Stegostoma tigrinum: one gene and its partner. Each later gene encodes a partner of the first gene's protein in a complex. Links are inferred from orthologs where the notes say so. Each region holds a gene or a part of one and is shown on either strand. Other genes may lie near its edges.

What was found. The genes of interacting proteins can lie anywhere in the genome.
Region 2: the proteins of gnat1 (region 1) and rhodopsin are in contact, whole or in part, in a cryo-EM structure (PDB 6OYA), measured with the Bos taurus proteins. The link is inferred for Stegostoma tigrinum from reciprocal best matches to the Homo sapiens genes GNAT1 and RHO. Residues at the interface, in NP_851365.1 of Bos taurus: Ala27, Arg28, Asp189, Leu190, Val312, Glu314, Tyr316, Asp333, Ala334, Asp337, Ile340, Lys341, Asn343, Leu344, Lys345, Asp346, Cys347, Gly348, Leu349, Phe350; in NP_001014890.1 of Bos taurus: Leu72, Arg135, Val138, Val139, Lys141, Ser144, Asn145, Phe146, Arg147, Val230, Ala233, Gln236, Gln237, Ser240, Thr242, Thr243, Lys245, Ala246, Glu249, Val250, Met253, Met257, Asn310, Lys311, Gln312.

What each region holds. Positions count from the first base shown.
Region 1 is NC_081364.1:14,868,388-14,875,464, forward strand, and holds the start of gnat1 (guanine nucleotide-binding protein G(t) subunit alpha-1), read left to right. Parts: upstream 1-4,064; 5' UTR 4,065-4,236; coding exon 4,237-4,342; intron 4,343-7,077. UniProt on the Homo sapiens protein: Functions as a signal transducer for the rod photoreceptor RHO. Required for normal RHO-mediated light perception by the retina.
Region 2 is NC_081364.1:67,532,575-67,540,276, reverse strand, and holds the start of rhodopsin, read right to left. Parts: upstream 3,013-7,702; 5' UTR 2,858-3,012; coding exon 2,497-2,857; intron 1-2,496. UniProt on the Homo sapiens protein: Photoreceptor required for image-forming vision at low light intensity. Required for photoreceptor cell viability after birth.

The DNA.
Region 1 (7,077 bases):
GTCAATTCGAAAGAAACACAGTTAGGCAGACATCAGCAGGTTGCGCTACCCCTTTCATCTACCCTACATTCAAAGCTACAGTCCCATAATATAATAATTTCATCCAGCAAAATATGATCCTAAGACAAAATAACCTTATAAATGCCCCAAGTTTGACAAAACTTTAAAATATAATTAATCCCTTATAATCATTAACCATATGCTTCTTGCCGTTTGCCACTATGGTTATTCCTCAACACTTAAAATTAATGAAGAGCAATTGAGAAAATTTTTTGCTTTTTAATATTGAGCTAAAACATATTTACTGGTCTATCTTCATAAAGAACGCCGCCACATCCAACAAATCCAGGCAGTGGTAGAACTTCCACATGTCACTTATGCGCAACAGTTAGGAAGTCAGAACCAGATAGCAAGCGTGCTAACTCAGTTTTGAAATACATTATATGCAAATATATTAAAAACATTTGAATAAAACCGGGAGAAACTCAGCAGGTCTGGCAGCATTTGTGGTATGAGAAACGGAATTAATATATGATGCCAACAGGACTCGGATCCAGAACTGAAGGGGGTAGAGGGGTAAAGAAATGGTGGGATTTGTGCTGTAGAAAGATGAGGGAGGAATAGGAGTGGACCTGATGATACAGGTGCTTCAGTGCCAAAGGCAAAGGGACTGTCAAAGGCAGTAGAGAATAGATAATAGTGAAGATTAGTTGTTAATGGCAGGCATTAGTTGCAGAAAATAGTTTTTCTGCGGCAAAGTGGGTGGAGGACATAATCAGAAGGGAAGATAGAGCTCATGGTCTGCAGAATGTTATGAAAGTTTAAAATGGAAATTCAATGGAGTAGGATAGAACTTCGTTAAAGTCAGCAATCCTGAGAGAGAAGTGGCAGTAAATTTAAAAAACAAAAAAAACAGCGGATGCTGTAAATCAAGAACAAAAGCAAAGTTGCTGGAAAAGCTCAGCAGGTCTGGCAGCATCTGTGAAGGAAAAATAGAGTTAATGTTTCAGGTCCGTTGGATCTTCCTCAGAACTTCTGTTAACGTTAACTCTGCTTTTTCTTTCGCAGATGCTGCCAGAGCTTTCCAGCAACTTTGCTTTAGAGGCAGTAAATTAAACTAGTCATTTGTTTGAATGTTTAGTTCAATACAAAATCATGCACAGAAAGCAAATTAAAATGAGGGAATTGAAAACAAACCATATGAAGATTCAAATAAGATCAAGTACAGGCCAGTCGGCCCTTCGATTCTGTTCTATCGTTCACTAAGATCTTAGCTGATTTGATTTCAACCTTAACTCTACATTCCTGCATATCCCTGTTTGATAGCATTTCCTCCTCTTTGTAATCAAGAATCTATCTCCTTCTGCCTTAAAAGTATTTAAATATTCTGCATCTATTGCCTCTTGAGGAAGGAAATTCGAAAGAAACACAACCATCTGGCAGAAAAACATTTCTCGCAAATGGGTGACCCTCAATTTCTAAACCATGGCCCTAAGTTTTAGATTCTCTCACAGGATAAAACATCCTTTTCACCTCTACCTCATCAAGACCTCCTGGATATCACATGCTTCAATTAAGTCATCTCTGATTATCCTAAACTCCAGAGAACACAGGACCAGCCTGTCTAGTCTTTCCTCATGAGGCCACTCCAGGAATAGTCCAGTTAACAAAGGATTTGTTTTCAAAACTTCAAAATTTTAACTTTTAAAATTCTCCAACAATAATCAAAATCTGAATAAATAAGGCTTTATGTTTGTCAGTGCATATTTTCCAGGCCAGAGAGATTGTTGTCAGGAATTAATCCTCAAGGCGCCATTAAAATTTGTCTGTGTGTAGTTTGCACATTCTCCCCGTGTCTGTGCGTGTTTCCTTCAGGTGCTCCAGTTACCACCCACAGCCCAAAGATGTGCAGGTTAGGTGAGTTGCCCATGGTAAATGCAGGCTTATGGGGATAGGGAGAAGATCTGGGTCTGAGTGGGATGATCTTCGGATGGTTGGTGCAGACTCGGTGGGACAAATGGCTTCTTTCCGCACTGTGGGGATTCTATTCTATGGTCCTATAAAATTTGCTTACAACTGAGTTGAAAGTCTTCATTTTCCAGGCATATTTAAAGCATATTTGATGTGTAAGTATCCTACTTGCTCACACTTGGTGTGTTTGAAAGTCTGGTCTTTGAGCAAGAGTCACTATAGTGAAACATGTCCTGAATTTCCACATTAAACAGCACATGTATGAGTGCCAGCTGTTGCAGAATGATGTTCCGTAGCAATGATGACTGCTGAAAACAGTATCCAGGCCTACAGCTTTGGAGTGAGAGTATCACCAGTTAGTTAGTCTTTGACTTGACATTGCATGAAATAATGATTAAACAGGAAGATATTGGCATGGTATGCCATTCCTGTTACCTATTTAGCATTTATGCATATACCTTCCAGTATTGGTCATTAAACATCAATGAGGAACAGGGTCCCTGGCTTATTCTTTCTTCTCAGGCTCAAAGTTGTTCAATTTCTGTCCTATACCTGCCCCTCCAGTTACACAAGGCTGACTCAGAACAGATCAAAATTATCTTATCCGCTTCTCTAATGAAAAACTGCAACAGTAAATTAGACTAAGAACTACTCGCTTATCTACAGATGCACAAAGCAGCCAAAGCACATGCCTTTGTCTGTCCCGTTAGTTTCTTTTCATACATGTTTTGCTAATGCTGACACTTTCCCAAAGGATAGAAAATCAAAACACATGATGTGCGTGAAGTAGACTAAGTATCAATTGGATACCCACTAAACGTGTCAGAGAAAGTGATGACTTGTCAATTTAATTGTAAGTGATTTTTAATAGAATCTTACATCTCAAACAACCTCTCTGGCCCTGAAATCTAAATTTTACAAACATAGAGCCTCATTCCTTCCAATTTTAATTATGAGTGAGATTTTTGGGAAACATTTTGTCCTAGCCAGAATCTGAGGTTAATAACTTGAGGCAGCCTCTCCACATAAAGAATGGCCATCTAGGAATCTTTCTCACTGTAACCAACCACAGGCATGTCCGAATCATTTGCAGGTTGACAATCTACCTGCATGGCCATGGTATCAATGAAGATTCAATGTCCATCAGATCCCAGAGAGGACTTAAAACTGGAACAGAGGTAGGTGTACAGCTCAAAGTATCACAAAATCCAAACACCAGCATTATTGCAAGTTTCTCAGATATTTGTTTATGTCAATTCTAAGCTTTCTTGACAATTACTTCTCGCTGCAGTATCATGAAGATCACTAGCTAGTCAAGGCTTCAACTCAGCTTTCTTTCCTTTGATGGGATTGAGGTCAAGCAGACTTGACAAGTTGTCTTATAAAACCTGTAATCACATCAGAGAGTCTTAAACGTACTTAGCGTGAATATGACCATCAGATCTCTGAAGATAAGAGAAGGAGCTTGATATTGATCTGCTTGATCTGCCAACAAGAGGAAAGAAAGATAAAAATGAAAGTTTCTTTCGAAATAGAGCAACAAAACAATGAGATAATGGCAAATTTAAGCAGAGTTTTGAGCAAACATAAAATTGAAACATTATCGAGGAAAATACCTGATTTGGAAAACTTACTTTCCTCAACGATACAGTTCGAACTCCACATCATAAGATAACAACAGTAATGGAACCTCATTTTAACATGAAGGACAGCTTTCCATACTGGTTTCCATGTTGCATACTGAGTACTGCTCGCAATTAAAGGGAAAGATCTCCCACATACTTAATGGTCAGCTCTGACACCCCTATGTGCATGGCATGGTAGATATAAACACACACACACACACACACACACACACACACACACACACACACACACACACATTCAGTCCAGACGTAGGCATTTTTGCCTTTAGCAACTGCATGAAGATTTAAGGATTTATCTTTGAATTGGACCACAGGATCAGCTGACAGCAGCAAGTCATTAATTCTGTTTTACACACCTTCCTCTATTCTATCCTTGTCCTTGCCTCTGATTGGAATACAGGTCTCACATGGCACATCCCAATTCCAAAATCCTTCTAAGAAATGCTTAATGCCAGATTTAGTGTTCAGTCCAGAGAGTGATCAACTAATGCCCACACAGGTCCCTAGCTGGCGACCCTGAACTCAACGATAGAGACAAGGTCAGGGCAGTCTCTCCCACAGTGTAAGCCTGGCCGTACTGTCTTCTGGGCAGCAGTGGCATTTCCAAACTCTCTCAACCATGGGAGCAGGAGCCAGCGCAGAAGAGAAGCACTCAAGGGACCTGGAAAAGAAGCTGAGAGAAGATGCCGAAAAAGATGCAAGAACAGTCAAACTCCTACTGCTGGGTAAGTACCCGTTGAATCACTTAGAAACTGGAGGCTTTGTAATGTTTAAACTCTCAGTCAACAAAAGGTTGCATTCGAGGTCAGACTTCAAACCCACCAAAAGTTACAAATAGATGAAGCTGCATCTGTTAAGTATTTGAGCTTATGTACCTGTTTGCCAACTGCGGTAATAGGTTACTGTTTCCTGTGTATGGGGGCTTTTCTATGGAAGTTAATTAGAAAATGATGAAAACTGTGCCAAGGCAGGAATCATTTATCTTACAATTAAGGATTCATAGAATGCATACAGTGTGGAAGCACACCATTTGGCCCAAGTCCATACTAACCCTCCAAAAAGCATGTCACCCGGACTATCCCCATTCATTATCCCTGTAACCCTGTATTTCCTATGGCGAATCCACCTAACCAGCACATCCTTAGACTGTATGAGGAAACTGGAACCTATGGAGGAAACCCGGAGAACATGTAAACTCCTCACAGACAGTTGCCAAAGAATGGAATCAAACGCAGGTCCCTGGCATTTTGAGGCAGCAGTGTTGACCACTGAGCCACCGTGCTAATTCCTTTTAGCCAGTGAAAAGTTTAACAAAACATAAGTAGTAATAAAGAAAGAAAGTATAGTTGGAATCATTCCTTATAAACGATGTTCCTTTGTGCCACTGTGTCACTTAACGTCATTCTTTATGAGGTGCCACTCATTTATTTGCCACTTTTCCCATAAAAAGCATTCCATAGCTGGAATTTGTTCTTTCTATTACATCATGAAAGATTGAGCAGTGGTCCTTGTAATTAATTACATCAAAAGTTTAAATTCAGTTAAAATATTCAAGAAAGGTCCAATAAAATATACATACGTTACTGTGATTAGAACCTAATTGTAGAGTGATTGCATGTTAAATGCACAACACCATGAGAGAATCAGATTTAGATTTAGATTTCGACTTTATTCTCACGCGTCCTCAAGTACTGAAGCGCAGGAGTACTGTGAAAAGCTTTCAATGTCGCCACACACTGTGCCATCTTAGGCACCAATACCTAGGTACAAAAACTTAGTTAAAAGCAAAACATTATAGCCACTCTTATTACAACGTAAGGAAAAAGAGAAATAAGGTTAAAAGTTAAACATTTACACTCCTGATTTACAGAACCAGTCTTTGCATTCAGAAATTATTGTGCTCTCATCATTTTTCAGGTGACATGTTTGCAGGACACATAGAAACATAGAATGAAAATAGAGAAAAATAGTGGTGGGCCATTTAGCCCTTTGAGCCTGCTCTGTTATTCATTATGACTGTCCAACTCATTAGCATTTGGAAAACTTTGAAATTCTTACACTAAATCTTTCATGAGTTCTACATTTGTCTTGAAAAATGTTCAGAAGCAACACTATTTGAATGATGCTTGGAGATATGAACACTGAAAAAGACAGTAAGGAAAAGCTATTCCACCCAATGTAATCAATTACAATGCTACTCTGTCCTTTATCCCCACTATATTGCATGGCGGTTTCCTGACCAGTTACCAATGCTGACTATGATTATCTGAAGAAGATGACCCATGAACTTACTGTGCACAATATAGAGTCATACTCAAAGTGAATGACAACAATGAGCTAATTCATGAGCAGCGCACTCATTTTTTACCTTATGGCATTATATGTAGCTACAATTACCTTACTTTATGCTACTCATAATACCTGTCTCAAATTTACTTTGTAACCTCTTTGGAACATTTCTTTCAATTTTATCACGCCACAAACTCACAAAAAAAGCTCATGTACTCCCTGATACAATTTAATGTAACATCCCGGGTTTAACTTGTCAGTTCTTCTCGGTATCTCAAATTTACTTATTATCCCTAACCATCAACCAACATCACCAAACCAGACTATCATTTCATTTATCACACTGCTATATGAAGGAGTTTGCCGTGGTTGGTTTTGTGCTTCCTCTATCGCAACAGTCAATGTCCTCCAAAAGTAGAAACTGAGAATGTGGACAATACACAGTAGGTCACGCAAAGAGTTGATATTTGCAGTGTGTGACCTTTCATCAGGACAGGAAGGAAACAGGCTTGAAATGTCAACTCTGTTTCTCTGCACAAATGCTGCGTGACCAGTTGAGTATTTTCAATATTTCCTTTCTTTTATTTTGGATTTGGTTCATCAGCATTTTGAACACTCAGAAGTACTTCATTGGTAATAAAGAGTTTTGGGAAAGTGGAGGTTGCGAAATGTGCTAATGTGAAAGCAGGTCTTTCATTTTTATTCCTTCTGCATTATATTTTGTTTACCTCATTGAACCAACATCTGATGATAAAGAACTATGGATGCTGGAAATTTGAAACAAAAATGGGAATTGCTGGAGAAACTCAGCATGCCTGGCAGCATCTATGGAGAGAAAAAATAGGGTTAACTTTAGAGTCCAGTGACCCTTCCTCAGAGACCCTGAGATTTCTTATTGCAATTATACAGTGCCTTGGCGAAATATTCACACCTGGAATATTGTGGGCAGTTTTGAGCTCTGAAGAAGATTGTCACCATAGAGGGAGTGCAGCCAAAGTTTACCAGACAAATTCCTGGGATTGGCATTCGAGGAAAGATTGAGTTGTCTAGGGTTATATTTGCTGAAGTTCATAAGAATGAGGGGGATCTCATGGAGAAATTCTAACTGGACTAGACAGGGTAGGTGCAGGGAGGATGTTCCTGGATGACGAGGAAGTTCAGAACTAAGGGC
Region 2 (7,702 bases), about 53 Mb from region 1:
AGCAAACTCTTTACACCACATGAAGTTTACATCAAATTTGATGGTCATCAAATTCAATTCCCACCATATTTTACATCCCCTGAAGGTGATTTGGACTGTATGAAATTACATTTTGAGCAAATTTAATTTGCAAGTTATTTACTCTGTACCCACTTCAATCAATGCCACATCTAATTAACATTGTTTCCCACTTACACTAGGCTTCACATTCACCTTCTTACACCAAGCATGATTTACACTATTATTTACTCCCTGCCTTATCGCTGAATCACAATTTGCACTACTTACATGTCCCACCATGTACACAGAATGCTAATTGGAATTTGCTGCTCAGCAGGAGTTTTTCCAGGTTCCTTTAAATGTTTTCATGATTTATTTCACCCCTTGTTTAAAGCCTGTCCAATTTTGCAATCATTTAGTTGAACCACGTTTACTGTCACAGGAACTTCCCCAAGGTCTCCAAAATTACATGATCCACATTAGGAGAAATGAGTGAAAATCTTCATAGCCAAAGTGACACTTTCAAAATATCCTGTCCATGCTTGTTCCTTTTCTTGTTCATCAGTTACCCAAGCATTTCCAGTGTAACTGTTTTAAATTTGTAAGATTCTCCTTGATCCTTTTGAGGCAAATATACTCATCTTCAGGATGGAAATGGGATAAGCTCATATTCATTCACACATTGTTCTCTCTCCAAGCTTTTAACATTGTTTTTCTGGTTGTCTTGTCATTTTCCGTTCTCAAATATCGCTGGAATCGCTCAGCAAACAGATGTTTTCATGTTACCCATTTCTGCTCCTGAGAGTTAGTTTGCACAACTGCTGTTCTTGATATTCTGCTTCTGATGGTGACCCCCATTTCTTCTATCCTTTGGTTGCTGTGAGAACATTGTTTCTTATCCTCCTTTTATTGGTTTCCAAACTCTCCATTTCTCTTCACTCTAGATTTTTGCGTTAAATGTTTTTTTCTACTGGACAGCCAATGCCATGTCAGAGTATTAAAGGCAGAGGAGGACATAGAACATGGAGAAAATGAACAGGAGTAGGTCATCTGCCCTTTGAGACTGCTCAATATGATCACACTTAATCATTCGGTCCCTTGTTCCCTGCTTTCTCACCTCCTTCTGCAGCATTACTCCTTTAGCCCCAGGAAATATTTCTAACTCCGTCTTGAAAAAAATTAATGTTGTGACTTCAACTACTTTCTGTGGCAGAGAATTACACCGTCTGGGTGAAGAAATTTCTCCTCATCTTATTCCCAAATGTCCTACCCTCTATTCTTAAACTCTGACCCCCCTTACTGGACTCCCCACTCTGGGATTATCATTCCTCCACATTTACCCTGTCTAGATTCCCTCAGCTTAAACCGTGTTCCAATGATCCCTTCACTATTCCCTTTTCCATGTGAAGACTATACTGAGTTTTCTCTTTGCCAGGATTAGAGGATTGAAACTTGAGCCAACTTCTATCGTTTTACCCTTGTTGATACCCAGGGACTTTGGCCTTAATAGGCAGTCAGGATCAGACATGGCACAACATGATGCATCATTTTGTCCCTTTAGTGTAGGGGTTATCATATTCTGTCAAACGTCACTAGAATTCACTGTCCCTGTATGAAGGCAATCTGACTTGCTCCCATTTGCTGCTAAATGTTAACGGGACTCATTTTAAGTGACCTGCAGCACGGTAGTAGTTTCAGCGCCTCTGGACCAGAAGGGCTGGGTTCAAAACACTCTTAAAAGGAAGAACAATGACAGGGCATAGGTTTAAAGTGATTAGATTAGATTAGATTAGATTCCCTACAGTGTGGAAACAGGCCCTGCGGCCCAACAAGTCCACACCTCCCCTTGGAGCAACCCACCCTGACCCATCCCCCTATAACCCACACGCCACTGAACACTACGGGCAAAGCAAGGAGGAAGTGAGAAAAATCTTTTCCACATTGTGACTAGTTAGGGTCTGGAATGCACTGCCTAGAAATATGGTAGAGGCAGGTTCTACTGAGGCATTCAAGACAGCAATTGTTAGAAATGGGGGGCTGGGATAGGGGGATAAGACAGGAGACTGGCATGAGCTAATAGAACCATTGCAAACAGGATAGTCTGGACTGCATCCTTCTGCAGCATTACAATTCTGGAACTCTCCGGAAGTCCCATCCAGACAGCTAGGAAATGTATCTTAGCTTATCTGATTATAACATCTATAACCCGATATTCTTGCTCCAAACTTTTAACTTTGCTCGTTGAGCAAAGTTTGCACTAAGCAATGCAAGCGGTTTATCAAGTCACACATGTAATTCTTACACTTTATCGCATCCGCTGTAGATAAATTAACTTAAAGCCTCATTAATATCTATCTGCGGAATATCCCATTGAATTTTCCCCACATACAGCTTCTGAGCAAACAAGGGCTTGAACTGGCAATGAACTCATGTCTCCTGATCCCTGAAATTGGACCAAGCAATGAACCAGTGGATGAAAACACATCGGGATCTTACCTCCAAGTGTGGCGAAGAAGCCTTCAAAGTTACAACCAGTTGGTCCAAAGATGAAATAGCCATTCATTGAGGTGATGGTGGTGGTAGTGAATCCACCAAAGACCATGAAGAGATCAGAAACAGCCAGGTTGAGGAGGATGTAGTTAAGAGGCTGCCGAAGTTTCTTGTGCTGGATGGTGACGTACAGGGTGAGGAAATTGATGGGGAACCCTGTTATAATCAGGAAGAACATGTAGGCTGCCAGCACGGAGAATTTCCAAGGCTCAGCCAGGTAGTACTGCGGGTATTCGAATGGGCTCCTAACCACACCTGTCTTGTTGGACATGGGTATATAGAAGTTCTCTCCTTCGGTGCCATTCATGGTTGCAGCTTGTTGTGCAGCTCAGTCGAAGCAAACTTTCTCCTTACTTTCCCTCGATGGTGATCCTCTCTGAACCTGACCCGAACCAGCACAGGAACTGACTGACTTGAGCAATGACAGGCCACAATCAAACCCCCCCCACTCCAGGTCTCTGAGCCCCCTTATAAAGCCTTGGATTACTCTGACCCTGCCTGTCAGCAGAAAGCAATTTAAGCCACGGCAAAAGAATAATAATCCAGGCAGGAGCTGAGACGGTATCATTGAGCCATTAACACTCACACTGCTGCACTGGGCAGTGAGGCCTTTGCCCTGACAGCCTGCTCAGAAGTTGTCAAACATGGAAGAAATAAAAACACAAAGTTGATACAGGTCTGTGTCGGTGAGCAAATTTGCTAATTATGCCTGTATCTTCACGTCATTCCATCTGGGAGGGCCAGCATACACATGGAGATGAGCTTCATGTGTATGCTGGCAGTTCCCTGCTCCTTTAACACATCACCCTGTTCCCTGGCCAATATCTCTGTCTCTGGCTTACTGCAGTGTTCCAGTGAAGCTCAACACAAGCTGGAAAAACAACAACTGGTTTACTGCTTGAGGACCCTGCAGCCGTCCGGACTCAATATCGAGCTAAATAATTTTAGAGCCTATATTCTCCCACGTCCTAGGCCCTACCCCACATACCCAGGTCTTATTATCACATAGCTTGCCATTGCACACTACCTGTTGTTAGCCACTAGCAGCCTCTCTTAACAGCTATTCACCCCACTAGCCAGATCATTTTCAACTGCTTTGTCCAACTGTTCTTCTCTCTCTTTGAGCTCTTTCTTCTGCCTATTTTTTACTCCTTACCCCCTACCCCCACCCTGACTTCTGCATGCAAACCAACATTTTCCTAGCTCCCATCAATTCTGGGGAAGGGTTACCAGGTCCAAAACATTAACTTTGAGTCCTCTTTACAGATGCTGACAGACCTGCTGAGCTTTTCCAGCAACTTTGTTTTTGTGTCTGTTTTACAGCATCCGCAGTTCTTTTGGTGAATGTAAGGGTATTGTGCTGGTGTCTATTGTGTTGAATGGAACTGTTGGAATATCAGAATCTGGATTTGTGTTATTTTACAGGCTAGAACACATATAATAGCGAGTACTATAACCTGTATGAAGAGACTGTGCTTGCATTTTACACAGAAACATTGAAACTTAGAAACTAGGTGCAGGAATAGGCCACGTGGTCCCCTTGAATTTACACCACCATTCAATATGATCATAGCTGATTATGCACTCTCAGTATTCCACTCTTACTTTCTCTCCATACCCCTTGATCCACTTAGCCGCAAGGGTCACATCCAGCTCCCTTCTGAATATATCTAATGAACTGGCCCCAACAGCTTCCTGTGGGAGAGAATTCCACAGGTTCACAACTCTGAGTGAAGAAATTCTTCCTCATCTCAGTCCTGAATGGCTTACACCTTATTCGTACATTGTGACACCTAGTTCTGGACTTCCCCAACATCAGGAACATTCCTCCCATATCTAGCTTGTCCATTCTCATCAGGATTTGATGTTTCTAAAAACCACACCCCCAAATCCCATTCTTCTAAATTCCAGAAATAACAAGTCCAGTTGATCCAGTCTTTCCTCATATATCAGCCCTGCCATCCTGAAACCAGTCTGACGAATCTTCGCAGGATTCCCTAAATAGCAAGAATGTACTTCCTCAGACTAACAGACTAAAACTGCACATGGTACTCAAGGTGTGCCCTCACCAAGGCCCAGTATAACTGCAGTAAAACATCCTTACTCCGAACTCAAATCCTCTTGGTCTGAGGGCCAGCTGCTATTAGCTTTTCTCATTGCCTGCTGCACCAATACACCAACCTTCAGTGACTGTTCCTCCATGACACCCTGGTCTCATTGCACCTCACCTTTTCCTGAACTGCCACCATTCAGATAATAATCTGCCTTCCTGTTTTTGTGACCAAAGTGGATAACCTCACATTTATCCCCATTATATGGCATTTGCCACTCAGTTTGTCTGCCCAAGTCACCTTGCAGCCTCCTAGCACCCTCCTCACAGCAGACACGGACACCCAGCTTAGTATCATCTGAAAAGTTGGAGATATAGCATTCAATTCCTTTGTCCAAATCAGGAACATATATTATGAACAGCTGAGGACCCAGCACAGAACTCTGCAGCACCCGTTCATCACTGCCGATCACTCTGAAAAGGGCCCATTTATTCTAACTCTCTGCTTCCTGCCAGCCAGTTCTCTATCCACTTCAATACACTACCTCTGATACCTTGAGCTTTAGTTTTCCTTACTAATCTCTTGCATTGAACCTTGTCAAAAGCCTTTTGAAAGTCTAGATATACAACATCCACTGATTCATTCTTGTCCACTCTACTGGTCACATCCTCAAAGTCTTCCAGAAGATTTTTCAAGCATGATTTCCAGCATTCTGTAGACTCTGAAAGAGTTCCAATGGACTGGAGATTCCCTTTAGCAAATCCTTGGACCAATCCTGCCACCACTTTCCAAATGCTAAATTAATACTTAATAATTGACTTCAGCAATTTCCCCATCACTGATGTCAGGATAACTGGCCTATAATTCCCTACTTCCTCTCCCTCCTTTTTTAAAAAGTGTGTCACATTAGCTACTCTCCAGTCCATTGGAACTCTTCCAGAGTCAATAGAATGTTGGAAAATAATTACCAATATTTCTAGGGCTACTTCCTTACATGCTCTGGGATACAGAGCTGCAGGCCTCCCTGGGGAGTTATTGGGTTTTAATCCCATCATTTTCCCCAATACCATTTCCTGACTAAAGAAAATGTCCTTCAGTTCCTTCATGCTTGACCCTCTGCCCTCTAGCTTTTCCTGAAGGTTATTTGTGTCCTCATTAGTGAAGACAGATCCAAAGTATTTCAGAAGAAAGGTCCCAACCCGAAAAGCCAAGCCTTCCTGCTCCTCTGATGCTGCTTGGCCTGCTGTGTTCGTCCAGCTCCACACCTTGTATTCTCATATTCTCCAGCATCTGCAGTTTCTATTATCTCTGTCAGAGATCTACGTTTGTCTTCACCAGTTTTTTTTTCACTAATCAATAGAAGCTTTTGCAGTAAATTTTTTAATATTCTTTGCAAGCTTACTGTCTTTATTCTATTTTCCTCTTCCAAATTAAACCCTTTGTCCTCTGCTGAATTTTAGCAGAGCTGATTGTAATAATGGTGTCACTGTCCTATTGATGTAAATAGAGCCCATAATTATCAAGACAAATCTTTGAGAACAGAGATAATGGGAACTGCAGATGCTGGAGAATCCAAGATAAAAAAGTGTGGGGCTGGATGAACACAGCAGGCCAAGCAGCATCTCAGGACCACAAAATCAGAGAGCTCTCTGATGATGGGTCTAGGCCTGAAATGTCAGCTTTTGTGCTCCTAAGATGCTGCTTGGCCTGCTGTGTTCATCCAGCTCCACACTTTGTTAAATCTTTGAGAGCTACCAGTTGCTGATTATTTGAAGTAAGTGGGAGTGATTCCCATTGTTAGGTAAATATCTATCAGATCCAGAGGGACATCTCTGAGAGCAACAGTGTGGTTTGAGGAATGAGAGTGAATCTCTGTGAGGAACAGTGTGAATATGAGCAATGGGAGTGAATCTCTGTGAGAAACTGTCATGACTCCCTATGAGCTCTGGCAGTGTCTGTGGGGAGAAATCAGAGTTAACATTTTAGGTCAAGTGACCCTTCCTCAGAATTGATTAATTTCTGTTTTGCTTCGAATTTACAGCATCCCTAGTTCTTTCGGTTTCCATCAGTCGACGTGAACTGTCCATGCCTATGGTACAGTGCCATTCAAATTCAAGCACCTCAGTGTCAATATTCCTGACACTCAACTCTATTATATCTGTCAAGGTTCCCTGATTGGATCGAGATTCACAGACCTAACCAGGGAATCCAGTCCAGATTGTTGATCATGTTACAATCGCAATGAGGATCAGTGTGAATTTGAGCTATTGGAGTGATGTTCCATGAGAAATTGTGTGAGGTTGGGAATTGGAAGTCATTCTCTGAGGAACAGTGTAGGTTTTAAAGAATAGTGATGAATCTTTCTGAGGAACTGCGTGAGTGTGGGAATTGGGGATTGATTTCAGTGAGGAACAGTGTGGGTGTGAGAAATAGGTATCGATCTCAGTGAGGAATGGTGTGAAAGTGAGAAATAAGTACCGAGCTCAGTGAGGAACAGTGCGAGAGTAAGAAATAGGTATCAATCGAGTTTTGAGAAGATTTGTAGCTCAGGCTGAGGTTCTGGATTGAGTTTGCTCGCTGAGCTGGAAGGTTCGTTTTCAGACGTTTCGTCACCATTCTGGGTAACATCATCAGTGAGCCTCCGATGAGGCGCTGGTGTTATGTCCCGCTTTCTATTTCTCTGTTTAGGTTTCCTTGGGTTGGTGATGTCATTTCCTGCGTTGGTGATGTCACTTCCTGTTCTTTTTCTCAGGGAATGGTAGATTGGCTCCAAATCAATGTGTTTGTTGATGGAGTTCCAGTTGGGATGCCATGCTTCTAGGAATTCTCGTGGGTGTCGATCTCAGTGTGGAACAGCATGAGTATGAGAAATTGGTGTCAATCTCAGTCAGAAACATTGTGAGTGTGAGAAATAGGTGTCAATTTCAGTGAGAAATGGTATGAGTGAGAGAAATGGTGATGAATCTCAACGAGGAACAGTGCCAGCATGAAAAATAGATTTCAATCTCAGTGAGGAACAATGTGAGTGTGCAAAATGGCGATCAATACAAATGAGTAACAGTGTGCATGTGCGAAATGGCAATCAATCCCAATGAGGAAGA